3 linked regions of the Oreochromis niloticus genome follow. The protein of the gene in region 2 interacts with the protein of the main gene of each other region in a pairwise test. Links are inferred from orthologs where the notes say so. Each region holds a gene or a part of one and is shown on either strand. Other genes may lie near its edges.

Evidence for each region. The genes of interacting proteins can lie anywhere in the genome.
Region 1: the proteins of pias4a (region 2) and smad7 interact in a two-hybrid assay, tested with the Homo sapiens proteins (2 studies listed by BioGRID and IntAct). The link is inferred for Oreochromis niloticus from reciprocal best matches to the Homo sapiens genes PIAS4 and SMAD7.
Region 3: the proteins of pias4a (region 2) and smad1 interact in a two-hybrid assay, tested with the Homo sapiens proteins (2 studies listed by BioGRID and IntAct). The link is inferred for Oreochromis niloticus from reciprocal best matches to the Homo sapiens genes PIAS4 and SMAD1.

What each region holds. Positions count from the first base shown.
Region 1 is NC_031972.2:18,262,708-18,270,570, reverse strand, and holds the start of smad7 (mothers against decapentaplegic homolog 7), read right to left. Parts: upstream 3,108-7,863; 5' UTR 1,988-3,107; coding exon 1,522-1,987; intron 684-1,521; coding exon 630-683; intron 1-629. UniProt on the Homo sapiens protein: Antagonist of signaling by TGF-beta (transforming growth factor) type 1 receptor superfamily members; has been shown to inhibit TGF-beta (Transforming growth factor) and activin signaling by associating with their receptors thus preventing SMAD2 access.
Region 2 is NC_031986.2:34,312,141-34,319,789, forward strand, and holds the start of pias4a (E3 SUMO-protein ligase PIAS4-A), read right to left. Parts: upstream 3,162-7,649; 5' UTR 3,067-3,161; coding exon 3,040-3,066; intron 1,325-3,039; coding exon 943-1,324; intron 814-942; coding exon 729-813; intron 629-728; coding exon 587-628; intron 404-586; coding exon 313-403; intron 1-312.
Region 3 is NC_031971.2:16,424,919-16,432,358, reverse strand, and holds the start of smad1 (mothers against decapentaplegic homolog 1), read left to right. Parts: upstream 1-4,333; 5' UTR 4,334-4,503; intron 4,504-7,440. UniProt on the Homo sapiens protein: Transcriptional modulator that plays a role in various cellular processes, including embryonic development, cell differentiation, and tissue homeostasis.

The DNA of each region.
Region 1 (7,863 bases), on a different chromosome or scaffold from region 2:
TAACACTGTTGCAACAGCTACGCTTTAGATGTGGAAGAAATTACAACAAAGCCTCTCTTCTGTTCTGTAAGACATCAAACCGGGAAATGGGGACAGTGACACCCCCAGCTATACACACACAGACACACACTAGAGACACACAAGCCCTCACCCTCATTCTGTTGATTAATTCAGCTGATAAAGACTGGCTGGCTCCAGAGACGCCGCTGTCTGTCTGTTTCTCCCTGTGCTGCGATTCACAATAGATAGACGAACACACAAACAAACTCCCTCCCCCCCTTTAGCCACACACACACACACACACACACACACACACACAGGCTGCCCCCGGTGATGTGCCAGTCAGTCAGTCTATAGCTGGTGTCTCAACTTTGTACTGCCTTGCCCTGGCTGTCAGCCATGCTGGAAATGGCTAGCCAGTCAGCCAGGCGTGCCACTCCACTGCTATCATAAATCACAACATAACATGGAGCCATTTCCTACACACACACACACGCACTGGAGAGGCACAGACAACACAAACATTCATAAATGCAATATAGCCTTTTAGATGGAAATGTTATGCAAAAACAAATGCGCTTCTGGCAATAACATGAATGCATGTATTTATGCATGAACAGCAAGCTCACCTGGTGGTTTAAGATAGTCCATGGGATAGCGGGAATATGGTGGAGGAGGAGACTCTGTATGGAGAAAAAAAATGAGTACATGAGGAAAAAAAAGGGGGAAAACAAGGGAGAGATCGAAACTTTATGATAAGATTTGTCATTTTTCAGGGGAAAAAGATTTGTGTCTGTCAGCTCCGCCTGGAGAGGCAGGCTGAGAGGCCGGCTGGGCGGCTATTGCCTTTCATTGGCAGGCAGATAAACAGGGGGGGGCCGCCTGGCGCCAGAAGGGCCACTATCAGCGTCTAGGACAAACTGAGATACGGGCCTCTTTTGGCCCGGGACGCCAAGCAAACGCGCGCACTCAGGCGAGCGAGCGAGCGCGTGCACGCACATACACACAGAGACCCTGGAAAAACTTCACTGTGGAAAGACTGGAAGACTGTAAAGCCCTGTGCACTTTGGAAATGCCATCTATGAAAGGTTTAAATAGCAGAAAGGCTTTGTTGTTGTTTGGAAAGCGCATATTTGAAGTGCCAAAAAAACATAAAATAAAGCATGTTTGGATACACGTTACCGTTTTTACAACACGGCCAATCAATCAATTATTATTTTAGTCAAATGACATGCCAAACTCGGATTTAATGACGCCACACTTCCGAAAAGATGGGAAGGTGGAGGGGGGTTTGGGGGGTGGGGGGTCTCAGCACGCTAGTTTGACCTTATGGAAACTCAACACAACTGTGCCAACAGAAGTGATGTCATTTGAATTAGGCTAATTAGCTCTTTAGGTAATTGAACTTGAACTTGCTCTGAAATAAGGCCAGAGAATGCCAGAGAATTCAAAATACTTGCTGCCAATAAACAGATAAATAAATAAATAGATAATGTCTATTTTCATAAAAATCCAACTCACCGAGTTCACAGAGCCTGCTCATGTGGTGGGGATTGCAGCAAATGAGCTCTGGGTTGATTTTCCCGTAGGATTCACAGCAAGACAGCCTCTTCAACTCCGAGGAATGCCTGAGGTCCGGCCACCTGAACACTTTGTAGAGCAGCATGGGGAGAGAGTAAGACTGTTGACCCACTTTGGCGTCCACTTTGCTGGGCAGGAGCAAACAGGGGCTGCGGGCACCCCCTTTGGACTCCACTGCCTGCAAAAGCACCTCCAATTGTTTCTCTTTGATCTTTTTCAGTATCGAGTGGGTCAACGCCTTCAATTCAGCCTCCGACCCTGCGTTGGACTTGGCCACCTTTGTCGTTTTGCCCAAGCAGCAGCCCCCGGAGCCATGCGTCCCTCTATCCGTTTCCCCGTCGCCCTCCACGGGCGCACGGCTCCTCCAGAGTCGCCGGACGAGCCCCGATCGTTTGGTCCTAAACATGCGGGACGAAAAGAGGGTTTCCCGGCTAAAAAACGAGCATTGTGTCCGCAAATCATGAAGATTCCGGGATCCGAGTCCAGGCGGTGATAAGCAGCCTGAGAAAAGACGGTGGAAAAACTGGGGTCTGGACAAGCAGAGGAAATCTGTAGCATACGCCAGTCTCTTTCGCCGTCTCCTGCACCCCAGATCACCAAAAAGAAAGAAAAAAGCAGGCAGGGTTCACGGGACAGTTAACTTTTCCTCCGGGGATAAGTCACCATCACCATCGGGAATTTAAGACTTGTGTCTGATGACGAAAACCTAGCAGAATGTGATCGTTAATAGCGAATGGGGGAGCAACCCTGCTGCGCGGAGCCTAGATGTGTTACAATTTTCACTTGGTGATGTGCAACCCAGAGCAGTGAGCTGACCCCTTAAAAATACTCCAGGCAGATTTTTCAGCAAATAAACACTGCTTTTAAAAAAAGAAAAGCAAAGAAAAAGAACGAAAAAAAGCTTTCTGCCAGTGCGCAGTAGCTTTAATGGAAATTACAGAACGTGGGGCCTAATTAAGCCTAAAATGCTATGGCAATTATCCCATGAAAACCGAAGCTCGCTGCCGTGTCTTCAGGAGCATTAATCCACAAAAATCCGTGATCCAAACTGCACAGAGTGCGGTTCTCCACCGGGCATGCGGAGGCTTTTTTTTATTTATTTATTTGTTTATCCGCTATCGTCCAAATATGCCAATCGTCTGCAGAGGATGTGGTCTGCCCGAGTTGAGATGAGCCAAGGAGCAAAAATCCAGGTCTGAATCTCTCACCCAAGTTGAGTTGCGTTTCTAAAGCCCGGAGAGAGAGAGAGAGAGAGAGAGAGAGAGAGAACACTCGTCCAGCCGCCGAGCCTTTCGACCTGTTTCAGCACACAGGCGAACCTTTTTCTTTTTCTTGTCTGAGCGTTAAAATAATCCCAAGCTCGTATCTCACGCGAAGTTTCCGTGGAAGAGAGAGCGAGCCGCCGACTGCGATCTCGAGGGGGAGTATGAGGCTCTCTGTAAATGAGGCGGATGGTTTGGGTGCCCTTGCTCCGTCTCCAGTCTCCAGTGCGCATTGACGCGCCCGGTCACGTGTGTGTCTAGACACCCTGTCGCTTAAAAGAAATGTGATTGTGTGTTGCGCAAACAACAGATCAAGCAGAGCCTGCGGCGCACACACACACACACACACACACACACACACACACACGAAAACCTTTGAAAGGAGGAAAGTTTGGGGGCAAAAAGTTGCCAGAAGGGTAAAGTTGAAAATAAAAGGGCAGTTGAGAAACTGTGAGATGATATAAAGTCTTACAAGAAATTTCTCTCGTCACTGTTTAATGCTGAATAATTGGCAGAGCGATAATGACGTAAATTTGGCCCCTTTGTGTCATATAAAAGTTTTTTCTAAGTTTACTTGATGATTGTAAACTCAAATGTTCTTTTCAAGCTCCAACAACGTCTAATAGCTCTGTTATCTCAGCTTTACTAACACTGGCTTCGTATTAAAGCAGCTCTGTTGCTGATGTGTGAGTGTGTGTCATTTAAGCTAGAAACACTCTGATTTCCACCTTTTTTCTCGTAATATAACATTTGCGCATTTGTCATCATGATTACTCAGGATGGTTTGGCTTGGGAGGGGGCTGCGTAGGATGGTCTCAAGGGCGACACTTCAACCACTCACCGGATATGTCGGGTCGTAGATGAAGCTGGTTCAGATTAGGGATTTTTTTAACGTATAAAAAATGTGCCTGCAAGACTTAACACAGGGAGGGAGAGAGAGAGCGAGAGAGCGAGAGCGGCCACTGTGTCCCAAAGCCAGACGGGAGCGCGCTGCTGCCGCCCTCTGGACGTTTGGTTTCCAGGTGGGACGAGCATCACCAGTTTTCTGCCTTTTAATCATCAACACGGCGGTTTCCACCCTCTTTTATTCATCCAGCGCTCTTGCCCATCACTTTCCCGACTTGCCTGACAACAGATGGGATGTGCCCACATGACTGCTGTCTTTATTATCGGCCGAATCCATATTTATTATGACAGGCGCAGCGGTTTGATTCTTACCGTTTCGATCTGTTTTGCCGTATTGTGTGTCGCTGAAGAGGCAAAACACAAACAACGTCATTTAAGTGTGACAGCTTATTTCTCTATATGGGCACACATAAATGATCTGTTCTCTCAATAAACTCATTTTTATTCAAATAAATAAATAAATGATTCACACTTTGAACCCAAAGTGTCCGAGGCCCTCAGATAGGATCTCCTAGCATCTACCAAACCCTTTGCAACGTGCGCATGAATAATATGCGTGTGTCTGTGTTTGTGTGTGTGTTACCTACATGGCTTCATGGGTTTACCTCCACAGACACAAGTCCAGAGGAGGAGGTGACAGGGGTGCTCCGGGGGCAGATGGGATGGGTGTCTGATAATGATGATTGCAGAGATGTGCGGGGCTGGGTAGGGGGGTGGGGGCAGAGGTGTGCATGGGGGTCGACGGATGGGGGTCGGGCTACCCGCATTGTCCCAGGATCACCCACTGGCGCCGAGCAGGAGGAGACTCAACAGCCCAAACAACGCAGGGGACTGCGCCTCTTTTTTTTTCTTTTTTTGAAGAAGTCTGGAAGCAATCAGTCAGGGGAAAGGGTCTGTCAGAGGTATTGTGGAAGTCGCTGCAGACGCACGCTGTCCCCTCCCCTCTCCCCCTCTCTCCCTCTCCACTTCTCCCTGCCCTTCCTTTTGTGTGTGTGACTGACTATTCCCCAGACTCCAGGAAGTAGCCAATTTTATCTAACCAGTTTCCATTTCAGTCTGGCGAGGAATGTCTGCAATAAGGTGCAGGACTAGGACTCATTAATATATATATTTTTTCCTCCCTGCCTGATAACGTTTTCATGTATTTTTAAACCACACCTGATAATAACTGAAGTAAATACTGAATGGTGCATTCACATGCTTGGTGGAGTCCTGTAATTTGGTGTTGCGAACACTATATTTGTGGAACCTGTCCCCCACACCTCTCCAAACTAACACGTCAAGGTCTTTTATTGGATTTTTGACAGTATGACAGTACAGCCATTAAAACGACATGCACTCACTGGACTCTGTACATATCGATAGAACCACTTTGGACTTCTTTTTGCTTTCAGAACTGTTTTAATTCTTCGTACAACAGATTCAACAAGATGCTGGCAATATTCCTCTGGGAGCTTGGTTAATACTGACATAATAGCATCACACAGTTGCTGCAGACTTGTTGGCTGCACATCCACAATGTGAATCTCCCATGCCACCACATCCCAAGGCTGCTCTATCGGATTGAGATCTGGTGTTTGTGGAGGCCATCTGAGTACAGTGAACTCACTGACATGTTCAACAAACCAGTGTAAGGTGATTTGTACAGTGAGTCCATGAGAACTGTAGCCTCAGTTTCCTGTTCTTGGTCTACAGGAGTGGCAGCTGGTGTGGTCTTCTGCTGCTGTAACCCATCTGCTTCAAAATTTGAAGCTCTAGCTTTTAGCGCAGCAGTCCCATCCACCTGGTGCTTAAACCCTTTGTTTGCAAGGGGCAGCCAATCAGAAGAAAGCTGGCTAAAAGAGAAAGGAATTGCTCATTTCAGAAAGTGGATGACCCAAGGGGGCTGTACCATCATCCAGTATAAAATGAATTATTACTCTGAACTGTGCAAAAGCTACTCCAGCAGGGTCCAAAAATAAAAATGGAGCTGGAAGTGCTTTCTGGTTGACAACTGGAGTGTGGTTCTAATGTTCTCACATCCTAAGGCTACATACAGCAGGCTTAGTTTCATGTTTCCCCGCCTGTTCACAGTCTTTGTGCTGAGCTAGCTTCCAGCTTCAGCCTTATGTATTCATAAGGCATATATACAGCAGTCTTGCTCATCTAAGTCTCAACAAAAAGTGAATAAATGTATTTCTAAAAGCTGCTGAGCTGTTGCTTTAAGAGCCTTGTTAAGCTCAATCAAGTGACCCTGCAGAGGTGATTCAAATGAGGGCGTGCAGTTGGCTAAAACAGCATTACACAGCAAGAGGGATGATTAATATTCTAGACAGCAGCCCAAGCCTTTACTATAATTTATTGACACAGTGACTGGTTTCAGACGAGTGGGGGTCACACATATGCAATTAAACAGGCTTATTATGTGTGAATGAGAATGTTAAGAATAGGGTGAAGACTGCATGCAGGCAGGCAGCCAGTCACTGGGGAGATAAGAATGATAGAAATAAGGCAACTTTAATTAAATAGATAAGAGAAAACTTTAAAAATTCACAACTTGCACATCCGATGTCACAACAGGAAGGATGGAAAACACCCACACTGGTAAATGACGCAGCCTGTTTAAAAAAAAAATAAACAAATCATGCTGTGAAAAAGCATAAAAAAGGAGGAAAAAAACCTATTCATCGTGTGTTGAGAAAAATGTACAATTATCAGCATCTCCAGTGGGGTTTGCTCTATAATGAATGAGAGAAAGCTTCAGTCTTGTGCTCAGACATGCGGTATGACCCACATTTTATCCCAGAATGCTAATGTTAGCTACAGACCTACCAACCTGCCCCAGACTCCTTTTAGCCAACTGAATGTTCAAAGAGTGAGTTACTCTCCTACGCTAAAAATGTCAAAGTCTAATGCAACAGCCTGGCGATAAATTTTACCTTCATGAAGGTCGTGATCTTCAGTTTTAGCTGAAATGATTAAGAAAAGTATTACTCCAAATATTGATAATATCGATACCAGCGCTGGTATCAGTATCGGATCGATACTAGCACGATAGGATCGATACTTTCTATCCTCAAAATTCTGTATGTAGCCCACTGAATAGTGTTAAATAAATTCTTATTCTTTTGGAAATGAAAAAAAATATAACACAAACATGAACTATGAAAAATGTACCTTTTTGTCGCCTGCCAGGTCTAGTAGATTTACAGCCTATATTTAAACAACAGAAGCTGACAAAGCGCTTTAGAGACTAGAGATTTTAATTCTTGATCTACAAAACATTTAGTTTCAAAATACATGAAAGTATGAAAGTGTGTTTTATTATAAAATGTGGAATGTAAACATCAAATCGTGTAGTGTTCGAGTGTTCATGTGTGTTCAGAATTTGCAAATCAATAATGATTCATCTCAAAAATCATGACACACTGCTCTCCCCTATATAAGCTAACTTTATAGGTTAAAAGTGTTGGTATCAGTATTGGTAATTCTGGCCCTGTATTTACTTGGTATAGGATAAACTGCTAAGTTAATGCTGGGTAAAACCTGAGGACTGGGGTGTAAGTTCAGAACTTCATCTTTAGCCGACAGTTGCTCAGTATGTAGCTCGTGCCCTGCAGCCAGTGGTCAGTCAATACAAAGAAACCCCTCAATTCAATATTAATAACTTTTAATCAATCCAGACTTTTAAGTTGGATCAAAGTGAGCCTGACACGTTGAGATGCAACAATGTTATTTTACACCCAATTACACGTGCAAAGTGCACTGAAGCTCAAAGAGTTATTATAGATGTTATATAAGATTCAAGTTTTCATATGAGAAGCATTTTGTCTTGTCCAAGGGGCTTTTGTCTTTTCAGTATGAGATGAACTAATCTGTAAGGTGTTGTTTGATAAACCTCTCACAGAGAGCATCTACTTTCAGATTTCTTTAGTCTGGTTTGGGTTAAGGGATTACATCTTTGTCATGTTAAAGCTGGAGGCCTCAGTGACCTAGTTCTCTTTAAAGGCCACTGGCGTGAAACTGCATGCATTTAACTGTCCTACATGGACGAGTGCCCAGGCTCAATTGTGATACTGATGTCAGTCATTTTTTTTGTCCCTTTAAGCAATTGCGTGATGTTTGTGGACGAATG
Region 2 (7,649 bases):
TTCCTCCTAAAGTTTTGTTTCCTGAGGTCTTCAGATAAGCCAACACCATCTTTAACCAAATCTTATTTTTCCCCTTTATGTTGTTCAAGACACACTTACATTAGGTTATATTATCCATCACTGTCATATTACGACATTTTATCACTGACCTGGTAAAACATCTGTGACTGACACCCAGAGACACCCTGACTGTATCTGAAAACGATGCTATGAGCTATGATTGAGAACACACTTCAAAACAGGAAAACAAGCCCAGCTTAAGTCATGTCTGTATTATGAAGGTGTGGGACATTTCAGAGTTAATCAACTCACCGGCACATGACAGTAGGACTGATTAACTTTGACAGCTATGTTGGGAGGATACTGGTCCTCCTGAACACCAATGGAGTCTGTGTAACAGATTCTGCAACAGAGAGCAGTAACAGAGGAATAAATGAGTGAGGTCTTCTATTTTAAGAGACTAAACACAAACACTGTATATACAAAGAAGCAATTTGTCCTCGTTTGTTTGAATGATGATAGTTTTATGACACAGTCACTACCAAAAAAGTCCCCCCCCCCCACCAATGTTTTACTGGAAACTTACCTAAGAACCACTTGGATTGATCGGATTCCTGGACGAAGTTCACTAAGAAAATAATAGGTCACAGATTAAAATGAGCTTCACAGGTTATATTAACCTGGGGTTAACCTAAAGTGCAGTTTTAACAGACAATGTGACTTTTTACCTTGCATTTCGAATCTGGTCTGCTTGGCTGGGTGTTAACTCAAAGATGCACTGACTGTCCTGGAGTTTCTCACTGTTCTGGGCAACTGTAAGGAGATGGAGACAAAATCCATTGTAAAAAGAGAACAGTGCAAATTCTCATCGTTGAGTAAAAATGCAACATTTCCCAAAAACACAAACAGACACAAAAAGCCTAACAAATAGTCCACACTCACTTAGCTCTGTTGGTGGTAGCAGTGTCTCTAAAGTTTGGTAGAAGGGCAGTGGCACTAGCTTCACCTCTGCTGCAGGTGTGGTGATCGGTTTGGAAATGCCGTTGAGGTAGTCTGCGCCCTGAGAGGTGGCAGTAGGGGAAGAGCTGAGGGATGAGTAGTTAACTGGGACACTTTCCGGACGCCGTGCAGCCAGCCAACCAGATGTTTTAGGGAAACGTGACTCGTAGAGCTGCCGGACGTTCTTCAGCAGCTCTGGACTGTATTCGGTCTGCACTAGCCTCAACGCACGCCCCACCAAGTCTTGCTTCAGCCCACTTTTGCTGCGACCCATTGAGGCCAGCAGCGTCTGCAGGTCTGAGACCCGGAAACTTTTGACCATATTCTAGTGAGAAAACAAGACGAAAAAATAAAAAAAAATATAACAGGAGGAGCACAAAAACAATTAGATTTCTGGAAAGGCAAATGAATTAAATAATTTAATATCGTGTGCAAAGTCCTGCGTAAACACACCTACACACCTCTTTTTAACCCTTGGAAGATGCACAGAGTTAATTACAGGTAACTTATATGCAGAACAGAGGAGTTCACCAAACTGCTTGGTACTTGCTAAAATTAGCATCTGTCCTTGGTCACTTTAATCCTATAGAGGCTTTAACGTGTGTTGTAATTAGCTGGCTATATTAAGAAGTTCACTTCCAACTCTGGGAACAATGGCTTGGCCATGATTCAAGTGATCACACTAATTGTGGTAGTGTTAATTAGGCTTTAGAACCATAAACTTCCAAAGGTGGCTTAAAAGTATGAATAGAACTTGGAAACACACTAATTCCATCCACACTATCTGTCATTTAACACACAGAAAGCTAAAGGAATAGTCTGGCAGGCTCAGTTACAATGAAATAGGTGCCTAAAAACTACTATTTCTTGTTAGTGGCCTAGAAATGTGCAAATAGTGCAATAGTTCTTACCTACATGAAACATATACATACAAGCCTATATGTATAAATCTGTTTACAGTCCACATCAAATGTAAGACAAATACGGCTTTGCAAATTCTGCATGTTTATGGCTCCATTAACTGTTTAATATAATTTTAATTTGCCGTTTATGGCTTAACAACCTCATTTGTACACTAATTCGAAAAATGTAAGATGAAGACACACCGTAGCAGGCGAGGATGTTTATTTAGTAAAAACATATGAGGTGCCGACACACATTGAACTGCAAAGTAAACGCAAAATCTCTTATTCTCGACATAATGTGCGCCAATTTTCTCCAGCCTTTAAACAATACTTGCATAACATGTGGAATCAATTATATGAATACCGTGTATGGTCGTATGATCCTATGTGAGGTCGTTAAAAAAAAAAAGAAAAAAGAAAGACAATTATTATTTATTTATGATGAAGTAGACAGCACGCGAACTGGGCTCTAGGGGCAAAACACGGGATGTTGTTGTTTAGCCGCCAGACAAGCCTCAGCTTTGTCTGACATGGCCGAAATAGACATTAGTGGAGAACTGCTTCATGTCTATATTAAAAACCAGGACTTTATGGATGGATCCGACTGAACCGCTGAGCTTCAAATACAGCTGCGTTACAGACTGCTCAACCTCACTTGAATGCTGCTAGTGTAGCCTGTGCTATCGCCGGGCTAGCTTCTCACACTCGGCATTCAATCACGACTGCTAGATATTTTGACAGGTGCACAGTTCATAAACTAACTGGTGAACTACAGACAGATATTCCTGTAAGCCAAATAACGTCAAAACGGTAACATGCCAGAAAGCAGGCTAGACCAAAAACAACCACACGCTTATATGGTCTCATCATTCATTTTCGGTGTCTTCCTCCAGAGCCAGCGTGATGCTAGGTGAACCAACGCACTTGCCTGGTTAACATTTCCAGGCAGGCTAGCTACCTTAGCACCATAGGCTAGTTCGTTTCGTCGTGCTTGAAATACACCACATTTGTAAGAATAAATACCCTTTAATAATATTCGCACAAAACCCACAGTTTCCCCACAACTGGGATGACTTTCAGCCCACACTCCCGCGCACGTCTCCTATCAAATCAAAGCCAACCAAGCTCTACTTGCCATCGCTTCCACCAGTTCGGCCGCCATCTTCGTGCAGCAGTACCGCGAGAGTCAGAGACGACGGCCAGTCTTGCACCAATGGAACAATGACCCTGCTTCGATAGACAGTCATCTCCAGCCAATCACAGCGCGACTTTTGCCAGCATCCGAAGCGATTCGCTGAAAATAGGCGGGACCACGTTGTTTTAAAGTTACAGCACAACTTTTAAAAAACACTAAGAGGCAGGTCTCCCTTCCAAAATAGGCCTCTGTGTCGATTAATAACACCACGTGTCAAAGTATTTTAATATTGAGACTGTTTCAATTTTATAGTTTTGCGATATTCTGAACTCGTGTCTTAAAGATAGTTTAAATTCAGCGTGACGGGAAAGCATGGGCTGTCAAGTGGATTGGGTCGCATGGTCCCTTCAATTCCCGTCCGAGCAAAATATTCCATTTCAGGTTAGGCGACCAACCGTGAGATGTGGCGTTAATGCTTTGTCTGAGGCATGTTCATAATTAAATTAAAACGACTTATTAAGAAAACACACTTACTCGTGTAGGTATAGTCCTGTAATACCTTCTATGTATCACAAATGCCAGGTTGTGTTAAGACATCAGCAAAATGGAAATATGTTTGCTGAGGGAAATGTCTGCTCCGATTGAAGATCCAGCCCTGCTTTTCCAAAACTCCTCACATGTGGGCAAAGAATAGCCTCATGGAAAAACAAAAATCAATTGAGGGAATTGCAGTATCATGTAATAACATGGCGTGTTTTGTTGTGGCTCCGTTTTGGATGGGAAACGTCAATAAAGCAGTGCTGTATTTCCAAAAGAACAGATTGCTCTGCTTCTGTGCTGACTTATAAAAAGAAGATTATCTTAATTTAAATTACAAATAAAACTTAAATGGGAAATCTGAGATTCCCTTAGTTCAGTTATTCATGAATCTGTCTCTGTTTAGTGCACCTCCCCCTCAAAACAAAGCCCATAATCTCAGCTTCATGTTTTACACAGTAAAGGCCGTTATTTTTAGAATTCTAACTCTTCATGTTTTTGTAGTTACTGAAGTATGAGGCTGAAAATAATTTAATAAAACTAATTACAACGATAACTTGAAAGGTTGCATAGAGTAGTGTTTTAATGTTGTGCATGCATGTCTTGTTCCATTACTTAAACAGAAGAGGGCAATATGGTCCATGATTTGACCTGACTGCCATTAAGTTCATCCCCTCTGTTAAACTGAAAGAACAAAGCAGATCGCCATACGGCTAATGCGTACAGGCTAAAGCTGTAAATGCTACGAGAACAGGGTGGGTTAATTATACTTAATGTTAACAAAGTTACATTGTTATCCATTCTCTGCTGAAAATACACTTTTATTTGTGTAAGATCCCAGAGATATTCAGAATAAAAAAAAAAACAACACAAAGGTTGAATAACTGTGGCACACTGGATTCAAATAAACTTTTTTAGGTACTCTTGTTCAAATGCCTGTTAATGCAAATATCACATAGACGTGGTAAAGATGAGCTGTTGAAGTCCTGAGCACCAGAATGGTGTAGAAAGGTGATTTAGGTGACTATCTCCATGATATGGGTTTCAGTATCTGATGTGTTGGATTGAGTATTTCAGAAACTGTTGATCTACTGTGATTTTCCCTCACGGCCGTCTCTAGGATTTACAGAGAATGATTTGAAAAGGAGAAAATATCCATTGAGCAGAGGTTCTGGCCAGACTGTTTGGAACTTACAGGCAAACTAAAGAAACTCAATTAACCACTCGTTACAACCGAGGCAGAAGAGCATCTCTGAACACACATGTTGACCCTTCTGTCAGCTAAGAAAATGAGACTAAAGTTTGCATGATCTCACAAAAACTGGACAAAATGACATTCTCAATTTCTGCTGCAACATTTGGATGCAAGTGTCAGAACTGGGGTGAACAATGAAAGCATGGATCCATCCTGCTTTGTATTATTGGTTCAGACTGCTGTCAGTGGTGTCATGGTGTGGGGGATATTTACTTGGCACATTTTGGGGTCCTTAGTAGCAACTGAGTATTGTTTAAACACCACAGGTTTTGTGAGTGTTTCTCGCTGACCATGTCCATCCTTTTTTATGACCACAGTGTACCGCAGTGTCTTCCAGCAGGACAACGCATGACATCACAAAGTTAAAATGATCTCAGACGACTTTGTTGAACACGAGAGTGATCTCACAGTACTCAATCAGCGCCCGCAGTCACCAGATCTAAGCCCAGCAGAGCATTTTCGGGATGTGGTAAAATGAAGATTCACATAATGGATGTGCAGCTGAAAATCGGTAACACTTTATAATAATATCTGCAACTAAAGGTGTAACTCCCCTGTAATTAAAAGGAATTTCAGTGTGCTTTATTTAAAATTACAACATAATTGTATTTAACAACAAATAATAGAATTAGAGGGTAACGACGCAGGATTTTGCAGGAATTAAAGAAATAATTATGCTGTGAGTAAATTTAAATAACCTGTAAGTTTTTTCAAGTACTGCATTTTAAGTAGTGTGGAATTTCATGTTAGTTTTGTGGAAAAACAAACAATATTTCTCCATCTTACGGGCCATATTATGGAGTGCTTAACCTTACCTAACTTCCATGTATTTTGCAGGAAAGGAAACACTTCTTTTCAAAGTTATGTTTGAACAGTGATTGTGAAAGAAAAAATTGAAATGCCTCCATCATTATAATGTCGAACTTTACTTCAAAATACTTATTTGTATTTATGTGAATATTTATGTGATACTTAAATTTATTTATAGTTTAATCACTTCTTTGCTTCCTGGATAAACCCAACTTTAAACCCCCTTATTTTAGTGCGCCTACCTGTAAATATAATTATATTGTATTTTAAAATAAACTATGTTGAAATATATGTTTATTAGAGGGGAATTACACCCATAAAGTTTTACTGACCAATCTGTAGCACTGTGTTGTGCAATCATGTCAGATTACTGGTGTGCCTAACAGAGTGGCTGGTGACTGTATAGCCTACCATAGACTGTAAGTCTGATACAGCTTCAGTTAAGCAGTAGAAGAAGCAGGCAGAGAGTATGCACATAATGTGGTGTTGCTTGAAGAAATCTTCCACTGATCAAAAACACACAAACAATAACTTTCTGTAACTATAAAATCAATCAACATTGCCAAAAATGTTCATTTCAGCACTTTGATGCATGATGTTTGATCTGTACATTGTAACATAAATAAATCTGATATATTTCAGCTAAATCTCCTTCTTGTTGATATTACAACATAACTACAGAAAAAGGTCTAGAAATGTTCAAACAACATGTCATAATTGATTTAAAGGAGATTTTTATTCCATAAGGATCTGAAACAAAACCTTCATTAAAAGATAAATCTTAATCAAATGTAGAAATGAATGAGTTAATGAAATAACAAATTTTCAAGTCAAGGGAAATAATTATTTGCATACAGAAAAAATAAACTATATTAGCCAGTAAAATATCCTGCACAGTTACAGAACACAATATAATACAGTTTAATAGTAACCACAGACAGTTTTTATCTTTAAGACAGATTTTAAACAAAATATATAATTATGTTAGCTGAACTACAAAAAAAATCATGTATATATGCAGTAATTTATTGTTACATATGAAAAAATAATTTTTCCACTAGCTAATAATTTAAGTAATAAAAGGCATTTGGTAACAAATTAAATAAAGGTGTTGAACGATCCAATATTAAAAGGGTTTATATCAAGAACGGAAGTGAACCTTTCTAATTTGTCATTCATACGCTTCACTTTTCTGTAACCTTGTCGCCGTCGATGGCTGCAAGAGACATTAATGGTCTTTGCAAATAAAGACGTGACTTATCTCCAACGTGCTGAAGTTGACCCATTAATTACTCCTCGATGGTAATTGAAGTAATTCTTTGGACAGTATCCTGGACAAAACGACTTTAACAGGATAACTCTGGCAACTAAAAGGCCTTTGATTCTACATCCACCTAACATCCATCCTTTGCACACCATGTCTTACTAAATCTCGAGTGTTTAATCTCCCGTAATTACAAAGATTTGCTTAGGTTAATAAAAATAATCCGCCTCAATTGAGACCCCCCACTTGGACCTCCCCTGTGCCTCCTTTGCCCCTTTCTGTGAGGGATAAAATCACAGTCATATAAATAGAGTCACCTTCACATCTTTGAAGCACAACTCTTTGATTCGGGAGCAAAAGGCTGACGGATACCAAGTGATAGGTTTGGATCGGCAGGGTTATCAAAGAATCGAAAACATTTACTGAAAATTTCTTGGCAAACGAAGCGTCCGCATTTAGTCTTGGCGACTGACGTCATTTCCACAGGTTGAGATTGGGTCACTCGTGAGCGCATCAAGGTTAACAACAGTTGAGAGGCTCATCTTTATCTGTGATCTTGTCAACAGTAAGTCTTCGGTGAAAGAATTTAGTGGCAGCGAGACGCTGGCTTTATGAAGGCTCCTAATTTTAAAGAACAATAGACATGCTGTGCAACTTAGAAACACAGTTTTGAGAAGACGTTTGGGAGAGATATTTTTTATTCATGACCTGACACCTGTTCAACAGTCAGCGTGAAATCAATAA
Region 3 (7,440 bases), on a different chromosome or scaffold from region 2:
TTATGGAAATAAATGCATGTAGGAAATGAGTCTACATGCAAGGGTAAGGAAGTTAAACCTTGCTATTGTTGCAGTTATGCGCCTAAAGAAATTATGTTTAACGATCACATCTGATATTTGTCTTTTGTTTGTCTTTCTCAAGATGTGGTTTTACCATTGCGTGTGCCCTCTGTTTCCTTATTTTTCCTGAAGTTTCTCCCTTTTTTTCTCTTAGATGTGTCTATGCTGCTTGTGTACAGCTTTGTGAAAAAATTCTGGAGCCACCATTCATACGTTTTGCTTCCAATAAGCAGAATTTTAAGAATTTTTCAGTTGACGCAAGGGTGGCTGTCAAGAAGCCATTCTTATGCAAGGGAAACAAGAAGAAAAGGCTGAGGTATGCCAAGTTACACAAGAATATGACTGAAAATCAGTGGCAACAGGTCTCATGGAGTGAGGAATCCAAATGTGAAGTTTTGCATGCATGAACAGAGGAGGTCAGGAGCAAGTACAACCATGAGTTTCTAAAGGCATCTATAAACCACAATGGAGGCTATGTTGTGGTTTGGGTCTGCATGTCAGCCAGTGGTGTTGGGGATCTTATCAACATTATGCAAATATGAACATATAAAAGTACTGTTAGACATTCAGCGCCATCTTAAAACTAGCTGGCTGATAATAGTGTCACTTTTCAGCATGAAAGTGATTCCAACCCCACTGTCAGTTAAGCAAAAGCATATCTCGATAGAAAAACACATAATGTCACGCTCTCAATCATGGATTGGCCTCCCCGGAGCCTGGACCTGAACATTATTGAAGCATTGTGGGATCATCCTGACAGTGAACAGAACAACAGAACAGAGCTTGTCTAAAAGAGTTCCGGGTACATTTAAAAATAAAGCTGGCCAAACCAAACTTGACATTTTTAAGTCAAGTTAAAGGGTTTTTTTCCCCCTTATATACATTGTTATACTGTATTTTCATCTATGTTTTCCATTTTCACGGTAAAATATAAAGAAATAAGCGGTTGCTCGACATTTTTGTACAGTACTGTAGATTTTAACGAGCTAAATCTCCTTATCTAAACAATCACATGCAGCACAGTCATTTCACTAGGCGGCAGACCCTTTCTCATAATGCCAACAAGTTTATTTAGGTTAATAAGTAAACCATATGCTGTATATCAGCATAACAGACTTGGAGATAAATGACAAAGAAGTACTTCAATGAAAGTTGCTCTTTGCATTTATCTGCCAGCATCCTATTCTTATTCATCCATATTTATTTTCTCCATCTAAGGTGTCTGACCTCAAAAGAGCTCACAGTAGGTAAAATTCTCCTTCTCAGAGTCAGTTAGAACAAAAGACAACCTGATTTACAAACTCTTATCACCTTTGTGCCTCTTGAACACTACCAGTGGAGACTGGCAGGTCCATTATACCACAACAAAAGGTTGGTTTGTTATCCGTGAAGTGGCCACTTCATGTCTCCAAACTGCCGTGAACAGAGATCAAAGTCTGTTTGATGTTTTCAGATGCATTTTAAACACAGCTAAACTGAAGCAAGAGCATTCACGTGGTTTTCATGAACATATATATCTCCTCCATATCTGGTGGTGGATTTAGATTCATGGTGTGTTTATCCATGCAAATACAGCAGACCTAAGGCTGAATTCACATGCATGACAATCAAGAGAACTGGGAAAGAGCTGACCTCTCTGTCGCTCTTTCCTCGTCTCCATCCGCGGTTGGTGTCCTGCTGTGTGATGGCTCCACAATAGATATCGTCTAATTTAATCCACGCTGAGTCCTTGCCACTACAGAGCCAGTGTAAGGACAGGAAACCGCTCTGATCAGAATATGCATGAGCACTGTACGTCTCACATAAAAAGAAAAAGCAAAGTGAGTTGCAGCCATTACAGTATCTACTGTCATCATTACAATGATGAGGAACCCTCTGTATAAACATTTGGGTAGTTTCCTTGCCACTGATACAATAATAAGCACATAAGCAAGGTAAATAAGCAACGGTAATTGATTTTTATTTTTATTGCTCACATAATCTCATTTCCAGCGACTGCATGAGTGAATTTGTATGACCTGAAATGTAATTTGCTTCATGTTAGCCACTGCTCCAGAAATGCAAGTATTTGCATTTTGCTGTATAAAAAAGAAGATGGCCGATACTCGTCTGTCAAATAATCAAATTTGCCAGCAAATCTTTTGAGCATCTGTAACATCTTTTTTTTTCACCGTTGCATCCAGTGGTTCCCCAATATGATTCTGGGGCATGGGGGCTGGAAAGCATTGGGGGGGGGGGGGGGGGGGGGGCATGTGGGTGTTTTTAGATCACAGGCCAGTGACAAAGAAGATTATACTCCTATCAGTGTTGAAAAGGCTTTAAAATATTCTAACTTCTGCAATGGTAAAAAAATATAAAGCAAAATATAGGCAGATGTTGCTTAACCCTGTCCTAGCTGGCAGTTTTGTAGCTCTGGAGTACTGGAGTTGTCTATAATAGAGCATAAAACCCGTAAACTGCATTTAAAAAACAATATTCCAATGTGTTCTTTACATTGTTCATTTGTTTCTTTTTGTTAAGGTCACTTGTCGAGGTGGAGATCCATTTGACCACATTAAGCTGTCTGGGAAGCTTGCAACAATGACTAATATTTTATGAGCTGAGCTGTCATGTGTAACAAAGTGGAATTGTTTCCACTTTTTGTTTCCACTCTCAGAAATATTATGAAGCAAGGTACTTAGGTTCAGGGCCTGCTTTACACCAGAGAGCAGAGCACTAGGAAGCAGCAGTGTCAAAATCTGAAAGTGTGATGTGCGAATATAAAAGTTAAATTACCTTAATTGGAATATTAGAGGTTAAACTTTGCTGTTCTAATGAGATAAAACTCGATGAGTCTGTAAAAGCTCAGTAGGCTTTTCTCCCTAATAGGACTATAAATGTATGGGGTCTAATGAATGTGCTGCTGCCCTGTGTGTGCGTGTGTGTGAGGGGAATCCTCTAGCAAAAAAAAGTTTTGGGGACCCTTCCTCCTATCCCTTCTCATTATCATCATCATGATCATCATCGCCATCCCTTCCTCCCTCCCTTACACCCCCCACCTCCACCCACCCTCCCCGCTCGCACTGTTTTCCCAGATTTATTCACGTGCGGCTCGCTCCCGCCTCGCTCAGACATTCTGTCGCCAGCGCCGTGACGTCACCTGCGCCAGAAGCCTCCTCCGCTCTGAACGTTTCCCTCCGCCTGTCTTCAAGAGAATCTAGTCCCCCTCCCTCCTCACCGCAGCGACCCTGAACTTGATTAATGAACTGGCAAATACAGAAAGAGATGTTACTACACTTTTTTAAATATAATGAAAAAAACAACAAAAAACAATAACGATCGAAGCCCGTGTTTTTTTTGCCAGTGTTAAAGTATATTTAAGTCATCATTGTGTGTTTGAGCAAATTATTACACTGATAAGCCTGTGGTCACCCTTTGGACACTTTGTGGCGTTTTTGAACTTATATCTCATTTTTTCGAGGATCTCTAATAACATCTACAAGCTCTGACTGTTTAAAAAAGACTGTTTAAAGTTTACTTATCATTCAGATAAGTTATCGCGCTTTTGTCGCTTTTGTGACTTATTCACATCTGATCAGATAATGGGTTACTTCCCCTTGGGCCTCATGGTCAATTCAGAGTCTGCGGCACATGCACAAGTATGGACAGATTGGGCTCATTGGTGTGCAAGAAACTTTCATGTCCTCTGCAGCTGCTGTCCTGCAGGAAGGCTGTGTTTTCACGTGTCATCGTGCAGTACTCACTGGGACCCAAAAAAGCGTGCATCAGTGTCTGAGGAGGTGGGGATGGTGGCATGTATGAGCATGTTCCTGTGCTGACTGTGCTCGTGGGACACTTTTGTTCTTCTGGCTGAACTGTGCTTATCATGTCACAGTCAAAGCGAGACGGGAAACCGAGAGGTAGGCTTTAAGTTCAGGAGTTCACAGATAAACCACAGAGATGTGTCACTTAAAAACAGCCTCTCGGAAATATTACTGCTTTAGATAAAAGCGAGCTTTTTCAAAATATTTCCTCATTTACTCCCGATTGATGTCTGTTGTATTGGGGGAGACAACAGAGTGGTAAAGATTAAAGACTTATTACTTAGACTTATTATTTAGAGCCTCTTTTCCCCTGTCTCCCCAAAAACCCCGACATTTCACCTATCTTAACAGACACGTTTTGCACTAAAGAAACCCCACACCTTTGCACTAAAACCGTACCGTTTCGCTATTACATAATCCACTTCCACGCTCTCGATGAAGATGTTAGATGTGCAAAAAGTAGGTCTGCCTCTTGCCGGTGGGGCCGCATCTCGCGGCGGTGTGATACTGGCGCTCGGGAGAGTGTGAGACGGCTCCGCGACTCACTGACGCCAGGCCGAGCAGACCCACAGTCAGGCGGCGAGAGCACACAGGAGGAGCCAGCGACGCCGAGAAACAGAAAGCTACAGAGGAAGAAAAGGTGCGGTAAAGTTTTTCTTTTTTCACAGAATTATAAATGAAAACTGCCTTTAACTGTTTTTATTTCGGTAGCCACAGTGTGCTCGACTCTGTTTTTTTAAGGAAGTAGATCCCAGCAGTTATCCGCACATCACTGTCAGTTGGCAGCTTCAAACTTTTTTTCCTCTTTTTGCGCACAAGTTATCAGACAGCAGTGGAAATTTAGCCGCAAAGTTGTGTCTTGTACCAATTTTTTTTTACAAAAGCGGGAAAAAAGTGGGTAACTTAGGGAATTTAGCAGCAAAGGTTTCCCAAAAATGTTGTAGAAGCGAAGCTTTTCGTCTTAAAGCTAAACTCCCTTTAATTACCCTTAAATCACCGTAAAGGGTTCACCGGGACGAGCTTTTCCGTATTTAACCATGTAATCCATTTTCAGCTGGGAATGATGATTATTGTGCTATTTATAAACTACCGCTTTTCTTCTTTTTTTTTTTTGCTTTGCTTTTTTTGGGGGGGGGTGCATGCATTATGCGGATAAATGGGTGGTCTTTCTGTGTCATATGTTGTTATCTTGCTTCATCAACTAGCTGTTTAGTCTGTAACATTAAAAAAAGTGGAAGAAATGGCCACCAGTCGCCCGAGGGTTTCATCTTGTTCTGTGTAGAAATTAGTTTACGGTGACATTGAACAGAAAAACAGCCAAGCTTCTCCTTTTGAGAAACAAGAAATTGAGGATTTAGCAAGTTTTCTTTCCCCGTGATAAATGACTGAAAATGCTTGATAAACAATTATCAAGACTGCTCATTAAGTTTCTCATGATCACCTAATTAATTAGCTAAATCTCTTGATTTGAAGCGTTACACATTTCGAAATGTATCATATTTGGATGCCACTAAACCATATATCACTCTGTAATCAGTAAACACGTATTACACCTTGCCATTTTAAGCTTTAAGAAAGTATATTGTTGTAGTGTTTATTGATGTATAAAGACTTAACGTGGCTGTTCAGCTGATGCACTTCAGAGGACATGTGTCCCCATGTGTTTACGAATTTCTGCCTGTGTGAGAGTGCATGTGAGGGAAGATTGCAGAGGGAGGCAGAGACCTACAACAACTAGAGCTAGCTCTCTTGACATTATTGAAGATGACATATCAGATTACTCAAAGGACAGGAATTTGTCCTTGTCTGTGATTGCATTCTCAGTATGTTGTGCTTTAAGTTGTATTTACGACAGCTTTTTTTCCAGCTTAAAAATGAGCATGAAGCCTCTTGACTGTGACTGTCATTATCAGAGGCTTTTATGAGCTTGATATCTGCGTCGGTGAACACAAAGCATGATATTTTCCATCCACTGTAACAGCTGCTGATAACTAGTAAACTGCAAGGTCTCCATACGTTGCAGGTTTTCCTTTATGAGAGAGACTTAAACCAAAATAAACTCTTTAGTTGACAGTTTTAGACAAGCACTGTTGTTGTAGGATAAATAGAAGAAGAAACATGACAGATTTAAGTCTTGTGTCCCTGTGTCACTGTATGGTTGGATAACATGTCTGCTATGTGTTGGAGTGAAGTGTCCACCCTAACACAACACAAACCCAACGCTGAGTTACGAGCATGTTTGACATAGCACCATGAAAACCCATGTGTTTGATAGTTATGTCTGCTGTGGTAGATTGACATGTCTGGGACGCAAAGAATCTGATCCCAGTTCAACTTCATCAGAGTCTGAACCATCCTGACACTTCTTGTGCAGGTTTCTAGTGTTTTCCATATCAGCATTGGAAGGATGCTGAGCAGTGGATGTGACTTGTAGGAGCCCGTCAGGTCAATGCCATGACTGTGATTACTTCAGGTTTTGCTCTTAGACTGTAGTGTCTAGGTCTAGCTGTTCGGCGTTAATTCTAGGGCTGCTCATTTATGACAAAAGTCATTTCTCACGATTGCCATAGTGGCTTCATTGAACTTAAAATCATGCTATTTGAATGGTGAATATCCTTGACTCTTTGAATCAGTCTTTCAGGGAGAAAATCTGGAGTTTTATGGAATGACAAAAGTATTGTAGGTGGGGCTGAAAGCCAAATTGTGAGTGCAGCACAATAACTGTCTTGTTTTAAATATAGTTAGAAGCCAAAATTGTAATTAAAATTTGATTAATTGTGCATCACTAGCTAATGCTGTTTGCAACCAACTGAAGTAGTTATTAGGGAGCCTGGAAAAGTGAACTAATATTATATTACAGCAGATATGTTACTTTATGTTAGCCAGCAAATATCAAGAAGGTGCAGAATGCAATTATGCAAAGACATGCTGCTTTTGTAAGACTGTACAACAAGGAAAACTTGACAGGTTAATTATATATATATTTTTCATGTAAAATGTCCTTCTCTGTATTTATTTATTTATTTATTTTTTGCATAAAATGGCTAAAATTGGCAGCTTTTTTTGGTTGGCCCACAGTCCAAAGATATTTAGCTTGCAATAATATGAAACTGATAAATGTAGGACATCTGGCTAAGAAACTGGAACCAGAGATCTTTTGGCTTTTTCTTTTCTTTTCGTTTTTTTAAATGGCATGATTTAAATGACAAGTACTTCTAAGTACTAAGTACATTAGTACTAATTTTTCTTAGTACTAATGTTAATTTCTCAAAAGGATGTTAAAAATGACAGCTGGTCTCCTGTTTTAAAAGCAATTTGTTGACTCATTTAAAAAAAAAAAAAAAATTATATCCTAGCCTCGTTGTTAGAAATGGTATTCGTAAAGTAGCCTGTAGTGCATCCTTGTAGTGTCATGATTCACACAGTAATGCCCCTTGAAGGCTCTTGATGTTGAAGTACTAGCTGAAGAGACCAGATATGTGAGCGTTCTCCATATCTCTTCCTCCCAAACACTCAGCCTGTCTTAGATCTCAGGCATCACCATCACTCTCACTTACTTTTTTCCTTCTGTCTCTGC